Linked DNA regions of Sus scrofa. The protein of the gene in region 7 interacts with the protein of the main gene of each other region in a pairwise test. Links are inferred from orthologs where the notes say so. Each region holds a gene or a part of one and is shown on either strand. Other genes may lie near its edges.

The links.
Region 1: the proteins of SNCA (region 7) and USP8 interact in a two-hybrid assay, tested with the Homo sapiens proteins (2 studies listed by BioGRID, with this or other methods). The link is inferred for Sus scrofa from reciprocal best matches to the Homo sapiens genes SNCA and USP8.
Region 2: the proteins of SNCA (region 7) and ARFGAP3 interact in binary tests that used the Homo sapiens proteins (3 or more experiments, as listed by UniProt). The link is inferred for Sus scrofa from reciprocal best matches to the Homo sapiens genes SNCA and ARFGAP3.
Region 3: the proteins of SNCA (region 7) and BCL2L1 interact in binary tests that used the Homo sapiens proteins (3 or more experiments, as listed by UniProt). The link is inferred for Sus scrofa from reciprocal best matches to the Homo sapiens genes SNCA and BCL2L1.
Region 4: the proteins of SNCA (region 7) and ARFGAP1 interact in binary tests that used the Homo sapiens proteins (3 or more experiments, as listed by UniProt). The link is inferred for Sus scrofa from reciprocal best matches to the Homo sapiens genes SNCA and ARFGAP1.
Region 5: the proteins of SNCA (region 7) and LAMP2 interact in binary tests that used the Homo sapiens proteins (3 or more experiments, as listed by UniProt). The link is inferred for Sus scrofa from reciprocal best matches to the Homo sapiens genes SNCA and LAMP2.
Region 6: the proteins of SNCA (region 7) and SDF4 interact in a two-hybrid assay, tested with the Homo sapiens proteins (2 studies listed by BioGRID and IntAct). The link is inferred for Sus scrofa from reciprocal best matches to the Homo sapiens genes SNCA and SDF4.

Annotation. Positions count from the first base shown.
Region 1 is NC_010443.5:121,373,355-121,377,490, forward strand, and holds the start of USP8 (ubiquitin carboxyl-terminal hydrolase 8), read right to left. Parts: upstream 2,801-4,136; 5' UTR 2,643-2,800; intron 1-2,642. UniProt on the Homo sapiens protein: Hydrolase that can remove conjugated ubiquitin from proteins and therefore plays an important regulatory role at the level of protein turnover by preventing degradation. Converts both 'Lys-48' an 'Lys-63'-linked ubiquitin chains.
Region 2 is NC_010447.5:6,046,137-6,048,589, reverse strand, and holds part of ARFGAP3 (ADP-ribosylation factor GTPase-activating protein 3), read right to left. Parts: intron 842-2,453; coding exon 720-841; intron 1-719.
Region 3 is NC_010459.5:35,365,648-35,368,222, forward strand, and holds the end of BCL2L1 (bcl-2-like protein 1), read right to left. Parts: intron 2,157-2,575; coding exon 2,019-2,156; 3' UTR 501-2,018; downstream 1-500. UniProt on the Homo sapiens protein: Potent inhibitor of cell death. Inhibits activation of caspases. Appears to regulate cell death by blocking the voltage-dependent anion channel (VDAC) by binding to it and preventing the release of the caspase activator, CYC1, from the mitochondrial membrane.
Region 4 is NC_010459.5:62,383,072-62,386,571, reverse strand, and holds part of ARFGAP1 (ADP-ribosylation factor GTPase-activating protein 1), read right to left. Parts: intron 3,329-3,500; 5' UTR 3,325-3,328; coding exon 3,265-3,324; intron 2,914-3,264; coding exon 2,804-2,913; intron 2,553-2,803; coding exon 2,381-2,552; intron 2,009-2,380; coding exon 1,908-2,008; intron 1,314-1,907; coding exon 1,227-1,313; intron 492-1,226; coding exon 395-491; intron 1-394. UniProt on the Homo sapiens protein: GTPase-activating protein (GAP) for the ADP ribosylation factor 1 (ARF1). Involved in membrane trafficking and /or vesicle transport.
Region 5 is NC_010461.5:98,621,140-98,625,065, reverse strand, and holds the start of LAMP2 (lysosome-associated membrane glycoprotein 2 isoform 1 precursor), read left to right. Parts: upstream 1-1,126; 5' UTR 1,127-1,270; coding exon 1,271-1,334; intron 1,335-3,926. UniProt on the Homo sapiens protein: Lysosomal membrane glycoprotein which plays an important role in lysosome biogenesis, lysosomal pH regulation and autophagy.
Region 6 is NC_010448.4:63,529,381-63,532,880, forward strand, and holds the end of SDF4 (45 kDa calcium-binding protein), read right to left. Parts: intron 2,316-3,500; coding exon 2,157-2,315; intron 1,875-2,156; coding exon 1,699-1,874; intron 956-1,698; coding exon 779-955; 3' UTR 473-778; downstream 1-472. UniProt on the Homo sapiens protein: May regulate calcium-dependent activities in the endoplasmic reticulum lumen or post-ER compartment. Isoform 5 may be involved in the exocytosis of zymogens by pancreatic acini.
Region 7 is NC_010450.4:129,246,283-129,250,523, reverse strand, and holds the start of SNCA (alpha-synuclein), read right to left. Parts: upstream 2,801-4,241; 5' UTR 2,723-2,800; exon of another isoform or gene 2,599-2,722; intron 1,966-2,598; exon of another isoform or gene 1,238-1,965; intron 1,121-1,237; exon of another isoform or gene 1,099-1,120; intron 750-1,098; exon of another isoform or gene 426-749; intron 349-425; exon of another isoform or gene 256-348; intron 117-255; 5' UTR 92-116; coding exon 1-91. UniProt on the Homo sapiens protein: Neuronal protein that plays several roles in synaptic activity such as regulation of synaptic vesicle trafficking and subsequent neurotransmitter release.

The DNA.
Region 1 (4,136 bases), on a different chromosome or scaffold from region 7:
CACGTATATATACATATACTGAAACACATATAAATAAGCATATGTATATACACACACATATATGTACTGAAACACTGTGCAGTACACCTGAAACACTATAAATCAACTGTTCTTCAACTTAAAAAAAAGATATGCAAGTCCACATCATTACTGGTACATTTCAGAGAATTCAGTATTATAAAAGACTAAACTAATGTGTTGGAAGAGCCCGGATTTAGCTATCTTAACCCTAACTTTATTCACTATACATAAGTACTGTGTTACTGGAATTAGTATGATTATAAATATATAATTGCAAATAAGTTTAATATTTCATCATTTACTACTAATAAATTTTATATCATGAAAGTATTATAGGTCTTAGTCCCATTTTCTACTCTTTGTCATGTGACTTTGGGTAAATTCCTTAAATCCTCCCAACACCACCACTGCCATTCCCCAGTTTATTTTCATCTGCAAAACAGGAAAAATCCATCTGCTTCTAAAGAGTTTTCAAAAGCATCAAATGAAAAAATATACATATGGAAAAGTGCTCTGAAAATTGTAATGTACACTGAAATGACTAAAGAAATCAAAACTGTAACTTATTCTTCATCTACTGTTAAATCCAAACATTAGTTTAAAACAACTTTTTCAACAAAATTATGGTATGCTAAATATGGCCACAAATTCTTTGGCATTTTCCCCTTCAAAAGGTAGAGGGTCAAAGGGGAAGGCTCTTACTGCTCTAACCAAATGAGTATGTTAGAAGTAATGCTGTGCCAAATTCTGGTCCAGGCTTTAAAAGGCTTTAAGAGAAAGCTTCCACTTTCCGACTCTTCAAATACTTGCTTTTAGAACTCATCCTCCATGCTTTGACATGTCAAAGATGCATAAAGAGACTGGTGCATGCACTCCAACTGACATCTCCAGCTGAACTCTCAGACAGTATCAACTGCCATCCATGCGAATAAACCATCTAGGATGTGCAGCCCAGGTGAGCTTTCAGATGACTCCAACCCTAGCTGTGTACCTGACGACGAATACATGAAACCCTAACTAAGAACCAACCAGGTGAGTCCACTCAGCCCACAGAAACATGAGAATAAACTGTAGTTTTAAGCCACTTTGTTTTAGAGTGATTTGGTATACAGTAATAGGCAGTGGGGACAATAACCAAGATTTGTTTTTAAAGACTCAATAATATCTAATTTTATTAGCAGCTCATATTTGATGAACACTTCTCCCCCTTTCATCTCTACAAAACCAAGTATATCTTCATGAAGAAAAGTTCATAATAAAATATAGTGCTAGACATTTTATGGGAAAAAAATCTGATGTGCTAACTCTTACTTTACAAAAGCCATATTGGTTCTTTCCCATTATATTCACATTAATAAAGACCATAATGATTGATAAAGTTCAAGTAAATACATTAAAAAATTAAATTCTAGAAAGATATCTTTAAAGTATTTTTGTTTTTCTGTTTTCTCAAAGACTACAATGAATACTTGTGTGCAATTAATGTATATTTATATCATTAATGACAGGTTGTTGTTGTCTTTTACTATACAATCCTTACTATCTAATTTAAAAGATGCATCTAATGTGTCACAAGAAAAGGAATACACATTTCAACATGATAAAGACATAGCACAAGCTACGGCACCTTTCAGATAAACTGATCCAGTACTCTGGGGTCTGAGAAACTATCTAAATTCATCATGAAAGACATTGAACAATGAATCAAACAGAATCTGTTGAAATACAAAATCTGCTTACACAGCAAAGCTACAGAGCAAGCCTAGAAGAGGAACACTTCCTTAACAAAAATCACTTGACATTTTTCATGGCTCCAGTAGGAAGTATTCAAAAATTAAGATGCTCGCAGATGCAGAAAAAGTAAAATCCTCAGTTCGGCATCGCCTACATCTGAAACCCTCAGAGCTCTTTAACAAATATTAAATTCCTTAGGCTCTGCAACACCTCTGTCTTCAGGTAAATTTTTTTTAGTGATTAAGTGATTTGCTTCAAGGTCACAAAATGTACTGGAGGTAAGAAACAAACCCAAAAGTGTGGTCTGCAGCTTTCTGTCTAAATTCTGGGTTCTGGTATTTTCCAAGGTGGAGTGGAGGTGAAATTAACTTGTTTCACACCTCTAGTAGAGAGGCCACATTTTAGGAAAGAAAAGATTTTACTTGGGGAGTCGCAGTTTTAGTTTTGATGAGCTCATTGATTCTTTAAACTCCTACTTGGAATTCACTAAAACCAAGTTTGACAGGATCAGAGGAAGGACTGGAAAACACTCTAGAAGGTTGTATTAAGGCCTGGGAAGATAGCCCAACAGCAGAAAATCTGAAAACAGAGGCAAGAGGGACGAGGTCAAAGTCGGACTGAGCGTTCAAGAAGGTGGAAGAATGGTCAAGGCCACCTTCTAAGACCGGAAAACCTGAGCCCACACGAAACTCGCTGGGCAACTCTAGGTGGGCACCAGCAAAGACTCAGGGTAGGGCCCTTCCTCCAAATGCGGATTCTACGTTCGAGCTGTCCCACCCTTCTCCGAAGACAGGGGTTGTCTCCCGGGTGACCAGCAGCTGGTGGAAGGGGGTTCACTGAGAAGAGCTTCCGGAGGAATAAAAACCAGGATCCAACCCCTCACTCACCTTGGCGCACGGCGCGCTTCACAAATGCCAGCCGCCTTGCCAAAGGCCCATCTCCCACCAAACCGAGGAAGAATCGCTAACCCGACGGAAGCCAGACCAGCTCATCCCCTTTTCCCAATTTGCACTGCGTTACGACGCGTCGCTGCTCTGACGTCACGCAGGGGCGGGGCTGCGCGCGCGCGCTCTCACTGCTAGTTCCTTCCCATCCCGGTCACCGCCTGTGAGAGGGTATGGGAGGGCGGAGGAGGGCTGAGGCGGATGTTTTAGATGGGCAGTATGGGTACGGACCAGGCTACGCTGAGCTGAGGCGAGCTGGCCCGCCCATCCCCTGCGCTCTGTATTTCTCGGGCTTAGATCTGTTACCCTGGTGTTACTCGCATCGTGGGTTTTGCTGCGGAGGAAGCATGGCTGCTTTTAACGCCTGAGCTACGTCTCTTCCTCTTCTAATTGGAGATGTAGGGCTTACAAGAAAAGGAATTTCAATTTCCTCTAATTCTGGCTAAAAGTTTCGCCTCTGGTAAGGGAAGAATGAACACGATCCTAAAAATCATATTATGTATGCATATAAAACGTTAACCAAAATTCTAGTCTTACAAAAACTAAACGAGAGGCCTGAACTTTTTCACAAGGTGATCTTTGTATGCTCGTAGAAATGGTGATTAAATACTCCAATTAGACCATAAATTTAAACAAATTTGGTTGGAGTTTTTGGCCGTGGTCACTAAGCTCCCAAGGACAGTCCAAGTGTCTAATGGATGGAAAAGCTGGAAGGCGGGGTATAGTAAGTGTGTTAAGTGAAAGTGTGTACCAAATAGGTGTTCAATAAATTTGTAATGAATAAATGACACCTAAAGCAACAATGTGTCACATATAGTAGTCTTTCCATTAATGTTAATTTCCTTTACATCATAATGAAGTACCTGCAAAAACATGGTAACTCTTTTAAACTCAAGCTATACACTTTCCCAAGAGATTTAAAACCGATAGAATATGAAGTATACTATACCACCTGAGTATACTATACCACTACTAACTAGGAAACCTTAGAAAAAAATTTCATAACCATGGGGGGAAAATCACAGCTATTGAGGGTGGATCTTAAGAAAGTAAACTGGGAATTCCCGTCATGGCGCAGTGGTTAACGAATCTGAGTAAGAACCATGAGGTTGTGGGTTCGATCCCTGGCCTTGCTCAGTGGGTTAAGGATCTGGTGTTGCTGTGAGCTGGGGTGTAGGTCGCAGACGCAGCTCGGATCCCGCGTTGCTGTGGCTCTGGTGTAGGCCGGTGGCTACAGCTCTGATTCGACCCCTAGCCTGGGAACGTCCATGTGCCAGGGGAGCGGCCCAAGAAATGACAAAAAGACAAAAAAAAAAAAAAAAAAAGAAAGTAAACTGGTTGTTGGTTGTTTGCTTTGTGTGTGTATGTATGTCTGCTGAGCACCTTGATGAATTTGAGTATGCAAAGAAAAAGCCAGAGCAGAGTTTGGAGTGGGAA
Region 2 (2,453 bases), on a different chromosome or scaffold from region 7:
CTCACGGCAATGCCGGATCCTTAACCCACTGAGCAAGGCCAGGGACCGAACCCGCAACCTCATGGTTCCTAGTCGGATTCGTTAACCACTGCGCCACGACAGGAACTCCTGAAGAATTTTTAATTAGACACAAGTGCTCATAACACAACAGCATGAAGAAAAAGGGGCTATGAAACCACCTATTCAACATAATCCCTTTAAAATTTTAAACGGATATCCACAGAAATCTGGAGTTAAAATAAAATCATCGAGTTCCCCGGTAGCCTAGCAGTTAAGGATTTGGCATTGTCACTGCTGTGGCATAGGTTCTGATCCCTGGCCTGGGAGCTTCTGCATGCCACAGGCATGGACAAAAATAAGTAAATAAGTAAATAAATAAAATTACATCAACCAAAATATTAATGGAAGTTTTCCCTGTGAGGTGACATTGTGGGTAATTTTTATTTCCTTCCCAATATTTCTATTTCAAGATAGGAAAAAAGTAGATAATGATCATGACAATTCCAGTAACAATTCCTCTAGGTCGTAAATTAGAAAATTTAAACAAATATGAAATTATAATTTCTGGTTTCCATGATGTCCTGGGTTACACTGCAGCAAACATATAAATCAATAATACAAAATCTAATTTTCTAGCAATTGAAGAGTAGTCCAAATCTCATTTTCGAAGCTACAAACCCACCATCATGCTCAGTTAATGTCATCCCAGTTTCACTAACCTGAATTGAAGTCATGACACCGTTAGCAAACACGGAGAGCTTTCCAGCAACGGATCTCACCCCCTGCTTAAACTGGGCCATGTCGGGAGCCGTGGGCAGCACGCTCGTGAGGTTGTAGTTTCCTGCACACAGAGCAGACGCTGGCTGTCATTCTCCTGCAGCAACGGCACAGCCAGTGCCTGGGAACCCAATGGCTTTGGAGAAAGTGGGCCCCTCCCCTCCTGCTTCCCGCCGGCAACAGCTGTGGTTAAGGGAGAAGGACCCCGCAGTGGGTTTCGGCGCCAGCCCTGTCGTGAACCACTTGTGAGACCCCATGTGAGAGAAGATGCGGTACTAGGTCTTAGGACCATCATGAGTTCAAATACTGGCACTGCCACTTCCAAGCTGTGTGCCTTTGGAGAGGGCCCTCACCCTCTCTGGGCCCTGTGTTCTCCAGGCTCGACACAAACCTGACAGGTAAATATTCAGAAAATGGCAGATGGGCAGATACCTCTGCGTTTTGTGGGCTCAGCATCCCTTCTCCTCTTTGTATAAAAGCCCCCCTCCCTTCCTCTGGGGAAGGACTCTCCCCTTCACTCCCCCAACCATGTGGTGGGCACATGACCTGGGCCTGGCCAATCAGAGCCTTGCTGGGATTCTGGAATATTCAGGGGAGAGAAGGCCTGGCTTCTTGAGGGTTCTTGAGCAGCTATTCGTGACTGGGGCTGCCCCTCTCCCTACTCCTAAGGAGGGAAGGAGGAAGCCTACTGCAGAGAGAATGAGGTGGGGTGGGGGGCAGACCCGTAAGCCAGCGGTGGGTGAAGCTGTCCCAAGGCTGCTGACTCTGAGCAGAGCCAAGCTCATGGCCAGTGTCTCAGGCACAGAGGCTGCTGTCAGCTGGGATTCTGTTGCTTAAGTTTGGGTCGTCCCATCACAGACACTAGCCTATTGCCACCAACACAGGTGACGCACGCAGCGTTATCACACATAAAGGGGGCTCCGGGGCTGACAGCGGGGCTTTGGCCGCACACGTGTCACGCAGTTGTAATGAGGTGCTGGAGGGGCTCAGAGACCTCCAAGTGAAGCCAAATCCCACAGGTCCTACAGGGAGCCAGCCCAGCTACACACGACCTGTCTACAGTCACCTGCCCTTGAAGAAGCAGGAGATACCAGGTCCCCTTCCGAGAACAAAATGGAAGCGATGTGTTCATCCTCCAGCAGAGACACCACCCACAAGACACTGTGTCCCCTGCAGCACTGTCCCGTGCCCACTGTGCGGGGAGGAACGGCCACAGGTGTGGATGCTTCCCCTCTCGGCCTCCAGGTGACGTTTCAAAGTTTTGTAGCCTTTTGCGAACGACAGAGTGGCAGCCCAGTCGTGACGGGACTTGGGTTTAAATCCCAGCATAGTGGTGCTACCAGCTTGCAAAGTGGGTCTTGGAGGAAACAAGGAGCTAGTGTGAGATCCTGGGTGCAAAGGCCCAGAGGCGGAGCTGCTCCATTGTGCAACGAGGTCCCAGTGGCCAGAGAGGTGTGGCCAGAGGTCGGCTGGGAGGGGGGGGGGAAATCTCAGCAGAAGCACCTCCACTTACAACTTGAAAAATGTTTATAGAAGAGAGCACAGCTGAGGCAGGATGGCTTTGGGACAAGGATCCCCCACTGACCACAAGCAGTCCTCAGGTGCTCTGAGCCCCAGTGTCATTCCTCTCTCCCCATCTCTTTAGGACTCCCAAATTCTAACCCTTACAACAAGCT
Region 3 (2,575 bases), on a different chromosome or scaffold from region 7:
ATAATTCTTATAGCCTGCCTGTTCAGGCCCTGGCTCTGATGTCACTTCCTCCAGGGAGCCCTCCCTGAATCCCAGACAAGCTCAGGTTCTGTGTGAAATGCTGTTGGACACTCGTTACGAGCCTTTTGGGTTGTACTGGTCTCAGACATGTGCTTCGCTTTGTAATTATAATCATACCCCTATTCCCAAATCTCAAATCACCTCTCTAGCGCTCTCACTGATCCAGCAGCCAGTCTTGGGGCATTATCTTTAAAACGTTATCTCAAATCTGACCCCTTCTTACCTCCTTCCCCATTAGGTCCTTTATGTCTTGCCATGATTCCTCAGGGTCACCCTGTTGCCTCCTCTGCCCTGCAACAGCTGGCACCATCCTTATATTCATCTGGCTGTCCCCACTGCCCTCCCTGGCAGCCTCTCTGCCAGCCAAGCAGCCCCCACCCCCACCCCCCCGCTGGCCCCGTCCCGCAGCACACTGAAGCCTGGGCCCTTTGTTCACTGAATCAACACAGTTTATTACTGAACTGCACTTTCACCTTCACACAGACTATTTCAAAGAGCTGGAACAAGTGTGGGGTGGGGGTTGGGGGAGGGACAGGTGTCCCTCAGGAGCCAGGACCCCCGGCTGGCTTCCCCGGACCAGGGCAGGGGAGGGAGCATCAGGCTGTTTGACCTCCGGGCACCAGCTCTCCACGTGCACACGCACAGCAAGCCAGCAGCTCCTCACACATAAATACAGACACGCTTAACAAAAATAGTATATCATCTTCACAAGGAATAAAAACTAGTCTCAAATATGTACAGCAGAGAGCCCGGGGTGGCCGGGGCTAGGCCGGGACCCCCAGGGATGAGACAGGCCATGGGTGGAGCAGAGGAGAGAAGGAGGCCTGAAGAGCTCCTGGCCAGGCCACTCTGACCTCGGCAGCCCGGCTGCCCAGGCTGAACGAGGGTGGTGCACAAATCGTTTGGGCCAGGCAGGCAGGTCTGGCCCCTCCAGCAGCCCTCCCTTCACGGCAGCATGAGGCTCTCCTTCCTGCCCTTCTTGCCTGAGGTAGGGAAGACCCTAGGGCTCCCACAGCTGCTCCCTGTAGCTCCCCTCACCTCTGGCTGAGGCTCCTGACCCCCATGGGCAGCAGCCCAAGGCAAAGATGCCACAGGCTGATCTCCTTGCAGGAAGTGAGGCAGCTGAGGCCATAAACAGCTCTGGGGCACCTGTCTAGGGCCCAGTTGGTCCCTCAGTCATGGTCATGGGAGCTGGGGAAGAGGAAGGGGAAGGGAGCGGAGGTGGTGCTAAACCGCGAGGGCCACCCGAGCTTTGGCGTGGGGTGCTTCCTGCAGCTACAGCCCCCTCCATCCCAGGTGGGGCTGACCTCTAGCCAGAGGCCTCTAGTGGACACTGGGATTTGGGGGTAGGGACTTTGGCCAGGCCAGAGGTGGGGAGAGGGTCCTGGTCCTTTTTACTTTCTCCCAAGCAGCCTGAATCCGTAATTAGTCAGAAGTGGCCCTAAGTAGCTCTTGGAGGGTGGGCATGAAAGGAAGGGGAGCCCAGGTCCGGGAGGGGGAAGACAGGAAATGATCAATTCTGAGGCCACAAACATCAAAACGAAGGCAATCTAGTCTCTTTTTCTGGGGAAAAGGGTCAGAAAGCTCTCTGTGTCCTGGGCAGGAGAGCATTCTCTGGGAGGCTGGGGGAGGGGCTCCACCTATTAGGCAGGGAATTCTGGCCCCTGCCACAATCCCTCCACCACCCTGGCACCTGCCAGCTTCCATGGGGCAGATTTGGGGGAAACTTTGTGGGTTTTGAGGCCAGGAGAACTGAGGTGTTGGGGAAGGCGGCTCTCACAGAAGCATGGTAGATTCTAGAAACTAACTGCAGGGGACCAGGTTAGGCCCAACCCTGTGAGGGGTGGGTAGCGGTGGGCTGCACGTAGTGGTTCTCCTGGTGGCAATGGTGGCTGGACGGAGGGACGTGGTGGGGGCGGGGGGGGGTGTGAGAAGGTGAGTAGGTGGTCAGTGTCTGGTCATTTCCGACTGAAGAGCGAACCCAGCAGAACCACCCCAGCTAGAGTCATGCCCGTCAGGAACCATCGGTTGAAGCGCTCCTGGCCCTTCCGGCTCTCAGCTGCTGCATTGTTTCCGTAGAGTTCCACAAAAGTGTCCTGCAGGGAGACAGGAGAGAAAGGGAACATGTGGTTTGAGGCCTCAAACTGTGCTGAGGGTGGGTGGGCCGAAGGGGGGCTGTCTGCATGCAGTGGCTTTGGTGATTTGAGAAACAGTAGCTGTCTGTGACCTCTCTTGGCCAGAAAAAGGGTTAAGGGCTGCCCTCCCTCCTGACCCTCGGGTGGGAAAAACCAACCCATTTTACTGTTGAGAAAATAGGTGCAAAGTGGGAAAGAGTTTTGTCCAAGGTCAGACAGCTTCAGAACCTGGGGTGGGAAAGGGATGGCCAGGGGCAGGGGACTGACAGGAAGCCAGGTGGCCGGAGAAGCATGACAAGAGGAAGGGAGAAAGGAGTTGAGGGTGTGGGATGAGCGAGAGTTGGACCACGCGTGGTCTGGAGTTTGGAGTTGAGCCCAAG
Region 4 (3,500 bases), on a different chromosome or scaffold from region 7:
TCCTTCGAGGCCCCCCATGCCCTGCACTGGCCCTGCCCACTCGGCGGCCAGGACCCCATCGGGTCTCAGAGCGTCCAGCGAGCCCCCGGAGCTCCCGGCCGGGCCCTCGGGCTCTGCGTCCTCCCTACAGTGGACAAGGCCCTGGAAGTGCCCCTGAAAACGACGGTTGGACCCGGAGCGGCCGAGGCTGGAGCTCTCCAGCTCGTCACCTCTGCCACCAAGACCGTGGCCCTACAGGCCGGCGGCAGAGCGACGCCTCCACCACGAGGGCGGCCTCAGCCGGCGGAGGAGCGCGCCTTCCCGACCTTCCCGAGTCAGAAGGCGCTCTGGCGCCAAAGGGCTGAAGGACGTGAGCGCCAAGAGCAGGCCCCGGGGGCCGGCCGGGTGCCCTCACCGAGTACAAGGACGACATGGCGCTGTTGAGAAAGTCATCTTCCTTCTTCTGAGGCGGCACCGTGTTCCCAAACCCCACGTAGCGGTTCTCCGGCGCCCTGGAGGGGACACAAGCAACAGCCGCGCTGCCCCAAAACCGTGGGGTGCAGATCCGCCCCGAGCCCAAAACGGAGGCTCCGAGAGGCTGGCCCCCGGGGGCCCGAGAACGTTCAGGGCTGCACCGGGGCAGCCACACCCCCGGCGCGGGTTCCGGACGAGGGGCTGCACCTGCCGGAGAAGCAGCGAGCCTCAGAGCCAATGCGCCAAGCGACCGAGTTCAAGTGGCGGCTCCAGGCTCACCCACCTATGGGTCACGCAGGTCCCGTAAGGTCTCCTTACTTTTTGCTTTTTAGGGCCACACCCGTGGCATTTGGAGGTTCCCAGACTAGGAGTCTAATTGGAGCTGTAGCTGCCGGCTACATGGGATCCGAGCTGTCTGTGACCTACCTACACAGCTCATGACAACGCCGGATCCTTAACCCACTGAGCGAGGCCAGGGATCGATCCCACGTCCTCATGGATCCCAGCTGGGTTCTTAACCTGCTGAGCCGCAACAGGAGCTCCCTCATCCCTCCTTCCAGGCGTTCTTAGGAGAGATTTCCTCTTAGAGGTTTTCTCTCCGCTCAAGCCTCCTCCTGCAACGTGGGCTGCTCCAGGGCTTGCCAGTCAGGACCCTTCGAGGCCGCCCACTCTGCAGCCACTGCACACGTGCCTAGACCTGCAGAGCAGCCCAGCCCGCAGGCCAAGCCTTCCAGGGCCGGTCCCCGCCTCTCCCAAGCCCACCTGAGTCTTACCCTTGATAGGAGCCAAGATCATCGTTCAGCCAGTCCTCGAAAGCCTTGTCGGAGCTGGCGGTGGAGTTCTGTGGCCGGCCAGTGGCCCTGCAACAGGAAGGCAGAGGTCAGTGAAGCCGTCGTGCCTGCGGGAGGCCGGGGGTCTCTGGTCACAGCTGGCTCCTCCGAAAACAAAGCTCAGAGTGGAGGGCGGCCTCCTCCACAGCGCCCGGCCCACACCTGCAGGGAGGCAGCAGGGGCATCGGAGGGGCAGAGGCCAAAGCAAGCACGTGGCAGCAGTCTGGAGACCTTCCGACGGGAAACCCGCCCAAGAAAGGCAGGGGAGGGGAGGCCCGCGGGCGCCTTCTCCAAAATCAGTCTCCCGGGAACACCCGCCTCCAGGCCGCCAGAGAGGCAGGTGGCCCTCAGACAGGACAGGGGACGAGAGCAGCCGAGCGCTGTGGGCCCAGACCACAGGGACTCACAGTGCGGACCAGGTCACCACTGCCTGCCAGATGTGCCCTCACTAACTGGGTCTTTACGACACATTCAAGCTGTAACTTAAAAAGGTGCTTTTCCTGCCGACTTTTACAAATCGCTCACGCCAGGAGCTGTCACCACGACCCCAGGTTCCCTGAGCCACAGTGGTCAGTACTGGGCTGACCCGGGCAGAGCTGGCCAGCAGGCCAGAAGAGCAGCTACCCGTGGGCACAGGTTGGCAGCATCTTGGGCCGAGGCGGGGTCCAGTTCCGGGCGGGCGAGGACTCCAGGGACCATTCTCCGCCTTCGGCCACAGTGGCCACCTGCCGGGGGGGCCCAGGTTAGAGGCCGGGAGCCGCCAAGGCCAGCGTTCGCCCACGAGCAGCACCCAACCCCTGCAGCCACAGGCCGGGCGCAAACACCGCAGAGACCAGGTCTCAGGATGCCCGGGGCCCGAGCAATGTGCTGGTCCACGTGGCTCCAACCCCAACCACCGGGGCCCCTCCCTGACAGGCGCCCCCAGCGGGTGCTGCTGTTGTCAGGAGCGTTCACCCACATGGACGCAGTGCACCCCAGGCCGCAGGGAGCCCCATCTGTCCTGCCCGCGGACGTACTGCACAAGGTGAGGCAGGGCCCTCGGGAGCTCGGCTCCCAGAACCACAAAGGCCCTGATGAGCGGGGCAGCTGGTCCGCACCTTGTCCCGAAACAGGGCGGCGGCCTTGCTGTTGTACTTCTCCTGCAGGGACCAGCCGGGGTCGTAGTCCTCCTGGGACTCCAGGAACTCCTGGAACTTGGCGTTCCCGCCCGCTTTCATCTTCTCCAGCTCCGCGTCCTTCCACTTGTCCATGGTGACAGAACGGACGAAGCTGCAGACCGAGGGGCCACCTGTCACCGTACTGAGCACCCAGCACCCACCCACCCGGGAGCCTCCCCGCTCACCAGGATTTAAGAGCCCACCCCAGTCTGGGACCAGACTGGCGGGCCTCCCGCCTCCTGAGATAGAGCGCCTGAGGGCAGGAGGGGCCAGCCTGCGATTTCCTGGCCCGCACGCCCGGGGGAGGCCCTGGTCACAGCTCCGGAAGCCCGCGGCCCGAGGGCAGGAAAGGAGGGCACTGACCTGAGGTGCACCCCGAGCCCGCGGTGCCTCCCCGAGCACTCCAGGCAGATCCAGATGCCGTAGCTCACGCTCACCCACTGAGGGTTAAAGGCGCCGCACTCGAAACACACCTGCGAAGAGCGCACAGGCGGCTGGGGCAGGTGGGGCAGGGGCAGGTCCGGGACCCCAGAGAGCCTGGGCGCCCGGGGGAGGGAGCGGGGGAGGCGGGCGGTGAGACCAGCAGGAGGACGCGGTGGCCACAAGCACCGAGAGAGAAAGAAAGAGAGAGAGAGAGAGAGAGAGAGAGAGAGAGAGAGAGAGAGAGAGGGAGGGAGGGAGGGGGAGAGGGGGAGGGGGAGGGGGAGAGGGAGAGGGAGAGGGAGAGGGAGGGAGAGAGAGAGGGAGAGAGAGGGAGGGAGGAAGAGAGAGGGAGGGAGGAAGAGAAGGGCGGGTGGGCGCGTCAACGACAGGGGGATGCTTACGTTGTTTCCATCTTGCACCCGAATCTCCTTAAGAACCTTCCTGGTTCTCGGGCTGGCCATGGTGCTGCCAAAGAAAAAACCAGCCTCTAAACTGACGAATAAGTCACTTCGCCAGAAAATCAACCGTGGATGTGAAAACACCATAAAATGTAACTTTGAGAACTCCGCTAAGCTGCGTGGGAGCTGCAGGTCCCAGGGCCACTCACTGCAGGCCGCGCCAGGGACCCGCTTACCCC
Region 5 (3,926 bases), on a different chromosome or scaffold from region 7:
TGTTAGGTTGAGGAGTCACAGGTTCCATTTAAGAACTAGTAAAAACTATAAATTTCCCCAGAAAAATCTACATACATAAATCTTGCACGTGATTTCTGGGGATTTACGAACATCCCCCCTCCTCCCTCAAGTTCACCCATTGGCACCAGATTAAGATCTCCTGGAGTAGATGATTTTGTAGGTCTCTTTTAGCGTTTCTCAAAATGTAGTCTGGGGACTTTTGGAATCAGAATCCCTTGAGGCCCTTGTTAAAAAACAAAACAAAACAAAACCAGATTCCTAGGACGGCCACAAACCTACTGTTTCAGAATCTCTGGGGACTGAGTTTGAAGATTCTGTATGTTATTAAAAAATCCCTGGGTGATTCTATGCAAACTAACATTTGAGAATCAGTGCTTTATCCCAACTGAGATTTTTATGGTTTTTAAATGCTTTCATTTGTTGAATATTTTAGGTTTCACCTGTTCAACTGTCAACTATACCAAATGGTACATTTAGTATGAACTCTAAGAAGATTTACATGTTTATAGGCAGAGGAGAAACATCTGAAGAAAGAGCAGTGTCTGTGCAGTAGGAATAAGAATGGTTTTTTTTCCCCTTTGTTCTTCTACTTTATTTCTCTTCTTCCTCATTTTCTTTCTTTCTATATTTAAAAAAGACTCTTCCTCTTTCTGAGTTTAGTTTCCCCATCTAAAAGACAGAGTGTTGTAACCAGGTGAACCTCAAGGCCAAGCTCTACTCTGGCGCTCAGTGACTCCATATTACCCTTGTCCTTTTAATGGTGTGAACTACATGGACAACAGTGTTTGGAGAATAATCATGTATTTTTTTTTTAGGTATGACGTTTCGATGCCTAGCAACCGTCTTTACTCCAGCAAAAGTATTGCTTTCTTTCTCTGGGAGTCGGAACTGAAATAATCTCTACCATCTGCAGCCCCCGAAAGTTCATCCCCTCTCCTTAACCTTAGAAAAGGCCGTCCGCGCACTTCTCTTAGGAGCGTAAGAATGAGTGTGAACCAAAAAGCCAGGGCGTGGTCGCCCCGCCCACCGGGCACCGCATCACCACCCCTCTGGCCCCCTTCACGTGCGGAGATTGGCTGAAGGCAAGAAAGAGCCCCGCCCCTGGTCTTATGACCCGCTCTGAAGAGCCGACGAGTCCTCGCTTTTGCAGCGTTGTGGTCGGTGGTCAGCGGCGCTCTTGCCCGGGTTCTGGGAGCCTTTTCCCTGGTGTTGCTGCTCTTGCCGCCGCCGCCGCCTGCTCTGCGGGATCATGGTGTGCTTCCGCCTCTCCCCGGTTCCGGGCTCCGGGCTCCTTATGCTCTGCCTCGTCCTGGGTGAGTTGTCGGGCCCTCCTGCTTAGTCCCTGAGCCTGGGCCGGGGGCGCCTAGTTCAAAGGCCACAGCCTGCAAGACTGGTCCAGGAGGAGCGGTTTGAGAGGCTAGACGACTGACACTGGGCGTTGGCGCTTGGCCCGAGGTGACGAGCAGTGACCTAGAGAAGGCCCGACCGAGGGATGGCGGGGGAGAAGGGCCCACAAGAGTAAGAAGGGGCAAGTAAGGTGGACGCCGAGGTAGTAGGTAGGGAAGAGGGAGGAGTGGAGCAGATCGGGGTGGAACGAGTAACTTGGGGAAGATAACTAAGGAGTGAGGAGCGGAGGAGGGCGGTACTTGCAGATTCTGGGGGTGGCACATACAATTAGGAGAGCCCTGGTTCTAGAATTGGCGAAGAGTTTTGAAGATGGTGGAAAACTATGGGGCGCGAGAGAAAACTGCAGAGGGAAGAGACTGCCTGCGTGGAGGAGATTGGGGGGAGGGCGAGGGCAGACAGGAGCAGATTCTGAGGATAGTGAGAGGTTGGGTTGGAGCGGGTGGGGGTAGGAATTTGAGGCCGTGGAGCAAGGGTAATTAAAGAGATGAGGGATGATGCTGGATTGGCGTCTGGTACTTGGAGTTTTGAGGTGGAAGGAGTCTAAGGTGGCTGGGGCAAATTCCAAGCGAGAAAACTAGGACCCAATAGTCTGGAGTCTAAAGGGATGAGTAGGAACTTGGGTGGGGAGTGAATGTCTGACTTGGAGGTGCTGAGGTCGTTGGTTTTCTACCAGTTTTGTTACTTCCTCCCAGCTAGACTCTGACAAAGAAGTACCCAGATGTTGAGGTTTTAGGGGTGGTGTGGCTGAGTCTTGTATGTACTGCTTTTTTTGCCTTTAGAAGCTCCCTTTCTTCCCCCTCACACAGCTGGTCTCTTACCACATTTTGAGAGGAGGAGGGTAGGTACCTTCCTAGGGGTTGGGTTGTTATCAGGTCCTAAGAATGGTTGGCTGAATGTTGGCTGACGGTGCTGTGCACACCCCACCCCCGCCGGCCCCAAGCATTGGGTCCCCTGAGGCCTTTTATGCCTGAAAGGTGAACTTTGACCAGAATGTCTCTTCCTGTGACCTGATAAATCCAGTGCTGATTGCTACCACTGATTCTTGCTGTTTGTGGCCTAATAAAAGGAGGAACAGACCCAGATGGGAGTGGAGATATATTAGGGGCCTGAGAAGGCAGCGAAAGGTACATGTTTTGGAATTTACATTTCAGTAGAATAAAATGAACACCCTGGAAGAATGGTGGATTCTCAACCAGGGGACTTTTGGCAATATCTGGGTACATTTTTGGTTGTCACAGCTGGGGATTGCTTCTGGCATCTATCTAGTGGGAAGAGGCCAGGAGTGCTTCTAAACATCCCGCAATGCACAGGACAGCACTCCTCCCCCAACAAGAGAATTATCCACCTTAAAATGTCAATAGTGCCAAAGATGGAAAATCTGGCTCCAGAGCTTATAGCTTTGGAAGGGGTCTTGATGATCTAATCTAGTGATTCTCAAGGATCTTTTTGGAGGTTGGGAGAGGGAGGCTCTCTGTCAGCTCAAAACTGTTTCCAGAATAATACTAAAACATCCGTCTTTCTCACTCTCGTCCTCTCATTGGTACAGTGGAGTATTCCAGAGGCTATACAATGTGTGATGACATCACCACTGTGATGGCTCTGGTGTGTTTTACTCACTTCCCGGTTTTAATTTCTAGTACGGCAAATACCAGTAGATGTAACCCACACAAACCAAAGTTCTTTCGAGGTCGTCAGTGGATAGAAAGTAAAGGGGTCCCGATGCCAAAACACTGGGGAGTCCACCTTGGCACACGGTGCTTGCAGGAAACGTCCGTGGCCCTTCTGACCGCCCCCCTCCCGGCCCCCCCAGACCTTGCTGAAACACTCCCCTGTGAAGCACTTACTGAGGGCCAGGCGCCCCTAAGAGAGGATTGTTGACAACGAAAAGCACCTTATCAGTGCCTAGAACACGTCTGACCAAGGCATCTGGTAGTCAGTAGTTCACTGCCAATTGGATCTGCACAAACAACACTGTAATTGTTTAGAGAAAGTGAAAAAAATAATCATTGTCTTGCTGGCTTTCATGTCATTAATTTTTTTAAATGAAAGCTTTTTTTGTTTTGTTTTTACAAAAGCAGTGCTGGCTCATTGCAGAAAATAAACAGGCAAAAAAGAAGCACATGAAAGAACCCATCAGCTCATCTGCTAGTTTGCCATTTATTGATTGGGGACTAACTAGATTCCTTCTCTTGGAAGATTTCCAAGATAGATTCCCTCCTCTTTCAAGTTCAGGATAGGATTTGGAGAAGTAAAAGTTAATAACGTACGCAGGTCAGGTTTTTTCAAAAGTACCAGGATGAAATAGAAAGTACTTTTTCTCTGCAGCTGCTTTTGCTGTCATCTTTTGGTTCAGTGTGGAGCTCAAACTCCTTCCGTATGTGTTTTTTTTTTTTTTTTTCCCTTAAGAATTTAGCAGTTCTTCAGTTCCTTGGTGGGTTTTGCACATTACTTTTATATATCCAAATGAATACCAGGAATAGTTTTTTTTTTGAAAACTC
Region 6 (3,500 bases), on a different chromosome or scaffold from region 7:
CCACAAGCTCAGCAAGCTTCTGACCCCTCGGCCACCCTGCCCCGTCCACCAGACCAGACCCCAGGCCAGGAGTCCGGGCAGCGCCCCCCACCCCCACAGTTCTCCAACCCTCCTGGGGCCCCAGGGCTCGTCCTCAGAGCCTCCTCTCCACCTAAAACCCCATTTCCTCCCGCCCCTCCCTGCCTCCTGGCTTCACATCTGCAGCCCAGACCCCCAGCTCCCACCTTGCGGAGGCCCCTTCCTGCCCTGAGGCCCCTCACACACGGCCCCCCACCGGTCCGCTGCCCTGTCACCCTCCCCGTGGTGGCCCGGGTGGGCGCCCGGCACACAGGGGATCGCAGGCGCCAGGAAGCGCCGGATTCTAACCAAACCGCCCACCGCAAAGCTTTAAGTGGAGACGCCCGGCCACAGACGCTCCAAGTTATCGATTACGTGGTTTTCTCTCCCCGCCACACACAAAAAAAGAAGAGGCTAGGAGAAAAAGGCAACTGTATTTTAAAGTACATTAATGAGATTCTCGTCGCGGGTGTTCACGTTTTCTCGGAGGCCGAACACGGAGGGGCCGGCAGCGGTCACAGCCGCCCCCACAGGCGGAGCAGCCCGGCCGGCAGAGCAATGCAAACATCTTTCAGTTTTCCAGGAAACAGCAGGAGCTGCGGTGCCCCCCGAGGTGCGTGAGCGCGGGCGACGGGGCAGCGGCTTCCGCAGATGGGCTGCAGTTCTCAGAAGCATGGTGCAGCGACGATGAGGGACGACACGCTGCGGGGGCGGCGTGGGGTCAGAACTCCTCGTGCACGCTGCGGGCGTAGTCCACCAGCTTGCTGCCCGTGAAGAACTCGCTGTACTTGAGCACCTCCTCAGGCTCCAGGTAGTGGTTCTGGTTCTCGTCGGCGACGGCGATCATCTGCTTGGCCTCGTTGAGGGCACTGAACTCGTTCATGGGGTCCATGTAGTCCTGCAAGGGCCCCGCCAGCGTCTCCCCTGCCCTCGGCCTGGCGCCCAGCCACGCCGCCAGACCCCCGGGACGTGCGGCCGCCCCCAGGCGCTCGGCACCCCAGCCCCGGAGGCAGGCCAGCCTCACGTGCGACCCCGTGGGCTGGGGGACAGGGCAGGGCAGTGGGCGGTTCCAGAACGTCCAGGAGGCTCGGCCTGGCAGCCCTCCCCACCGGGTGGGGGGGATTGGGGGGGGCGCCTCCCCGGCCTCCTCAGGGGGCCACCCAGATCCCAGATGTGGACACAGCCGGGTCTCGGGCTCACAGGAAGGAGCGCCAGCCCTGGGCCCCGCCAGCCCTGGGCCCCGCCAGCCTTGGGCAGGGATCAGAGAATTCCGCGTAGAGTGAAATGACTCAGCAGCAAAATGGGAAAAAACAAGCCCCACGCAGCACCTACACGCGATACCAGTGAACACACCTCAGAGGCAGGTGGCAAGCCAGCCCACGCCCGTGCCCCTCGTGCCCAAGCGTCTGGACAGAGGGCCCAGCGGGCAGCCGCTCCTGAGCCTACGAGGCTGCCTGACCCAGGCACCCGACCCGGGGCCGGGCACCGACACTGTGCCCTAACGCCCTGCAGCAGGCACATGCCCACCACTTCCACGGGCTCAACCGGCCCCAGGCACCCCAGCCACAGGACGAGCCACGACCTGAACCATGAGGCCTTCCTGGCTCAGGCTGGGGCTCCCCGCCACGGTCCCCTGCTCACCTCCAGCTCCGCCATGGTCACGATCCCGTCGTGGTCGGCATCAATCAGTTCCTCAAACTCCCTCCTCCTGTCCCTCACCCAGCCGTCGTCAATGTCCTGGCCTTGCTGGTTCTCCACGGTGCCCGCGGGCAGAGAGATGAACTCGGGCAGCGAGAGCCTCTTGTCACCATCCTGGTCTGCAGGACAAGGGGCAAACCCTCAAGACTCCAGTGGACACAGGAGCGCCAGGCCCCTCGGGAGAAAAGTCAACCGCCCGGGTTTTGCAGCCAGGCCTCCAGTTTGTGAGGGTTCAGTCCGACCCGAACAGGTGTGTCTCGCAGGACCTGCGGCCGGATGGCATCGGCCAGGGCCGGGCCTGCCCTCGTCGGGCGGCCGCGCGGCCTTCCGGGGCCACCGCAGCCCAGGACTGGCCGCGCTGACCTCTGCCGGGAGGACCAGCGGGGGCGGGGGGGCCTCACCCAGGTCCCGGATGATCTCCTTGGCCATGAACTGGAGCATGCCACGGCTGTGCTCGGGGTGCAGGAAGGACAGGAACTCCTTCTCGGTCAGCAGCAGGTCCGGGGGGGGACTGTCCGCCTGATACCAGCGGTCTTTGAGGTTCTCCAGGACTTCCTGTGCTGAGAGGCGCGCCTCCGTGAGGATCTGGGCATGCGGAAGCCCGGCAGCCTCCGTGCGCCAGGCCGAGGCCCTGCCCTCGGGAGGGGAGCTCGGCCCCCCGAAGGCAGAGGCGCAACCGGCCCAGACACAGGCCCAGCCCCTGGCAGCCTTGCTCCCAGCGGGGTGGAACGTCTCTGCAGGGACAAGGGCACGACTCGGGCCTGCCCTTCGTCCCGTGCACCCTCCACGGGCAGGGCGGGGAAACCCCGTTTCCACGATGCCCCTGCCCCTCCCTCCATGGGAAGGCCGCGTGGGGCGTGGGGGGGTCCTGGGGCCGGTGACCACCCGGGGCCCCGCTGCAGCTTTCTGCTGGGAGCAGGGACGCCCGAGTCACAACAGGGGATCCCACACAAGGCCTGCAACCTCGACCCCACTGCCTCCAACAGACAGCAGATCCCGTGGCACAACTTTCAGGAGTAAATCCACCTCAGGCAGGTGGGAGCGGCTGGTTGTTCCCTGCCTGTCCGACCAGGGGGACGGAGCGGCGGACAGGCACAGGTTGGCCACGTCTACCTGGAGCCTGGGCATGGGTCCTGATGTGGAGATGGGATCTTTGCAGCTGTGACTAATCATCCTGAGGTGAGGTTGCCTGGGATCTCAGCTGGGCCCTCACCCAGATCTCCTTGGCTAGGAGGACACAGAGGCTGGAGAGGAGTGGCCACCAGCAGAGACGCTGGCAGCACTAGAAGCTGCAGGGGGGGACACCTGGCAGGGATCCTTCTGCAGGGCGCTATGCTGCAGCCCCAAGGACCCGCGCGTGACGGGTGACCTCAAGCTCAGCTCTCACCCTCCCGCCATGCTCTCCGGGCCTCTGGGACCCTTGACAGCTGCTCCTCACCTCTGAGCCCCCAGACCTGCTCACCTCACAAACTGAGAAGGGAGCAAGGGACTCATGAACAGACAGGAGGGGAGACGAGGGCTGGGCGGGCACACTGAACGCAGGGCGTGGGTTTCCAACTCACCGGCTCCGTGTCCCAGCCCCACACCCCCCAAGGAAAAGGGTGCTGAAGACAGACAAGCGGGGCCAGGTGGACGGCAGCTGCCCAAGAAGCCAGCATCCAATCACCGCTGGCAGGAAGCGGACGGGGCCCAGTCTTCGGAAGCCTCTAAAGGGCCCTTAAGTGAGTTCCCGCTGGGGGCAGCAG
Region 7 (4,241 bases):
CCGCTGCTTCTGCCACACCCTGTTTGGTTTTTTCAGCAGCAGCCACGACTCCCTCCTTGGCTTTTGAAAGTCCTTTCATGAATACATCCATGGCTAATGAATTCCTTTACACCACACTGGAGAACACAAAATACACTTTGAGAACTTTGGGGTAAAACAAAACGAAATTAGAACCACCCAAGGTAAAAATCACTGAAAGATCAGTAGACTCCCCCGCCCCCCCCCAAAAAAAATGCAGGACTCTTGTAGGTGTACCTCTGTTTCAACCACTGGACAAAGCAGCCTTTTTTTAGCTTTTGCATTAAAAATTTAGCATCTCCCATCCATCTTGTTTGGTGGAAGTCTAGCCTCCTAAACATGGATTGGGATGAATCATCTGAGTTGTTCTCACCGCATTCCAAGTGGAGTTACATGAAAGGACTTACCCCCTCCCCCCTTTCAATTTCCCAGGGTCCAAACGATGAAGGTGTTAAGTTAGAAGTGCGTTTAGAAGACAGATCACAGGAAACGGAAAAAGGAGCTGGAGGAGGGGGGGTCAGAGATACTCAAAATAAATCCCCCAAACAGCTAACAGGTTGATCAGGAAGAGGGGTGGGAAGAGAACCACTCACTCTGGGTGTGGCTGAACCCCAGGCCAACTGCAAGCCCACCTGCAGTGGCTCTCACCCACTGGACGCTGTACCCCACCTTCAGCTGTCTACCCTGAGCAGGCAAGCAGGAGCGTTCACACCTGCAGGCAGTCTCCGGATGCGCGCCAGCTGCCAGAGGTGGAGTTAGCCCGCTGAACCCGCCACCCACCCGGCGCCCAGCACCTGTTAACCCCTTCCCACCTGTTGACTTGCTCTCTCTGCGCTTCCATTTAAAGGCTTGCCCAATACAGCTTGCTTACTTTACAGAGAGAACAGAGAGGGTGGGCTGGGGGATTTAAGGAAAGTAAGAAATAAAAGTTGAATAGTTATAATCCTTCGAGCATCCTCGACTTTCCCAAAGGAAAAGCGTATCCCGGAGAATCCAGACCGCTCAGCCTTTGAGGACGAGAAGAGAGGTAAGCCGAGTCAATTTACTTTCCTCAAGCTCACCAAAGGGGTCAGTGCCCACCTCTAAGAGAGACTCGACTATGGCAGGTCCTCACCGCAGCACTAACCCCCCCCCCCCCCCAGGCGCCGCAATGACTCTTCTCCCACCAGGTTTTCTCCAAGATTTCCCAAGCTGCCCACTTAGATTCACAGGTACTTACCTGATTCCCTTGGCTCCTGAGAACTCCGATCCTCCCCGCACCCACTTAAAAAATTTTAAAAACAATTCCTAAATATTATTTAAATGGGAGGGAGGAGGATAGGAGCGCACAGGAAGGGTGGAGGCGGCACCAGGAGAGGGATGGCCCTCAGCGGAGGCGGCTGTCGGCACAACCCTGGGGGGAGAGGCTGGGGGCGTGGGAGGGAACCCGCGAACCTGTCGTCGAATCGCCACTCCCCGTCCCCCGCACGAGAGGATTCCAGGCAGAAGAAGGGAGGAAGGGAAGGCGGCGAAAGAGCGCCAAGGCTGCCAAAGGCAAGGCGCGGTCCCCGGGTCTGCTCCAAAGCCAGCACACACCTCACCCCCACGTCGCTGCGCTCTGTCTCTCGCCCCCTCTCCTGGGTCCCCTTCTAGTGGTCTCGGTCCTTCTCCTCGTCTTCCTCCTCCTTCTCCTCCGCTCCCCGCCCCCGCAGCGGATTTGTCAGCGCCGCTCCCCGCCCCGCTCCCTGCGCGCGTTGCTTTCCCCGCCGCGTGCACTTCACTCCTCTTCTCGGATGGGGGTGGTGGGAGGCTGTACCTCCAACGCCAGCCGCCCGCCTGGGCTTGGGAGACTGGAAGGTGGGGTGTTGGGCGGTTCACCTCAAGTTCAGGGGCGCCCGGGCTCTGGCGGCGATCCGGAGCTCTGAGGCTTGGGCTGATGTCTGATGTCTGTTTCTCTCTCCCCATCCCCCCTCCTTCCCAGTCTCCGCCTTTCCCCCCGGTTTTTCCTGCGGACCCCCACGTCATGAGCCAGCCCGGGGAAGTGGGGTCTGAGGGCTCTACCACCAAAATAGCGCCAGTCTTTCGGGGAGCTGCTAAAGGAGACAGGTAGCTTCGGAAGGTACCCGCATCAGGACCAAGCGCAGGTTTCCCTCGCATCACTGAAATTGGATGAAGGGTCCTTAGGACACAATGTTAACGAAGCTTTTGTTTAACTATTCTCCGGATTTAACGTTTGTTCTTAACCTCTCCTGAGCCCGAAGTGGTCCGGCAGGTGGAGAGGCGACTAGTAAGGATGAGTTACAGGTTGAGGAGGCAGGAGGAGGCTCGTCAAATCCTCTTCCCACCCCACTATCACCATTTTCTTTCCACCAATCAGCGGCTGCCAGACGCTGATTTTTCCCATCAGTGGATCAAGGAATAAATATTCCCCAGCCGTCGAAACCCAGCGGCTGTAAGGCGTTTTGTTCTCAGAATGGGATTTACTTTCCAGATTCCTGTTCCTGGATGGAAGAGATAAATCCAGAGTGACTGAGTCTCCTGAACCGTCATATCCAATTTCATGGGCCCCTTCTGAAAAGAGAGATTCCACATACCACTCACCTTTCCGACTACTGATTCACGTTGTCCTCGGGGCTGACAGGCTACCCCATCCCACACACAGACACACAGACATACACATGCACGAGCTTCAAGACAATTTTTGCATTGCTTGACACAGTTTCACCTTTCAGAGCTGGAGGGAAAACAGCTGTTCCTGGATCACACCGGAATGGAGAACCAAGCTCCTCCCCCTAACAGACTGCCTCTGCTTGCTTTGCCTGGAATAGGAGGATGCTTTTAGAACTGGAAGGGGAAAAAACAGGTCTTTGCAGATTTTTTTTTTTTTTTTTGCTTGTCTTGTGTTTATTTGTGTGTGTGTGGGGGGGAATTTCTCTGATCCTTGGACTCACATTCTGGAATGTGAGTAAAAAGTAATTTAAATCTACAAAAACAACAGTTTGAAACCCAAAGAGATGGGAAGCAAGTATATATATTGCTTAACCTACTCCTTGCACTGATGGTCGGCCCTTTTAAAAAGTAGGCTTTCTAAAAACGCTCCTATTTTGTTTCCTGGGGAACTTGGAAGGAAACTTGGAAGTTGGTTTGCTTTTTGGCTTTGAGAGCCAATACAAGTTATGTTCAGTTTTCTCTTGTAAAGGGAGAGGAACCAAGATGATCCCTCTCTTTTCAACTTTTTATTATGGGAAATGTTCAAACATACAAGAATGGAGAGAATAGGAATTCCTGTTGTGGCTCAGCAGTGACAAACCCAACTAGTATCCGTGGGGATGCGGGTTCCATCCCCAGCCTCACTTAATGGGTTCAGGATCCTGCATTGCCATGAGCTGCAGTGTGGGTCAGGGATAGGGCTGGGATCTGGTGTTGCTGTGGCTGTAGTAGTAGTATAGGCCAGTAGCTACAGGTCCAGCCACCCCTGGCCTGGGAACTTCCATATACTGCGGGTGCACCCCTAAAAAGCAAAACAAAAACAAAAATAGAATAAAGGACTCTCCATGGAATATCACCCAGCTTCCACTGTTTTCTTTCTTCTTTTTTTTTTTTTTTGTTGTTGTTGTTGTTGTTATTGTTGTTGTTGCTATTTCTTGGGCCGCTCCCGTGGCATATGGAGGTTCCCAGGCTAGGGGTTGAATCGGAGCTGTAGCCACCGGCCTACGCCAGAGCCACAGCAACGCGGGATCCGAGCCGCGTCTGCAACCTACACCACAGCTCACGGCAACGCAGGATCGTTAACCCACTGAGCAAGGGCAGGGACCGAACCTGCAACCTCATGGTTCCTAGTCGGATTCGTTAACCACTGCGCCACGACGGGAACTCCTTCCATTGTTTTCTAATGCAGTCAACCACGTGCATCTGCATTCTTGTCTATTCCCTATATTTATCACTACTCCTTCCCCCAATTTTTACTAAATCCCAAGAATTATATATGTCTTTTCATCTGTAAATATTTAACCCTGCATCCATAAAATATAAATCTTTTAAAATAAACAATACTATTTCAATGGTCTTTTCTCAATTTTAAGTAAGATTTATAAACAGCGATAGGCTCAGCTCTTGAGTGTTCCCTTAAAACAGTTTTGAAAAATACATGCTGGGAAAAGCATCTGAAAGGGAATGGAATGTGTGTACACGTAGAACTGAATCACTGTGCTGTACAGCAGAAAGTATCACCACTTTGTAAATCA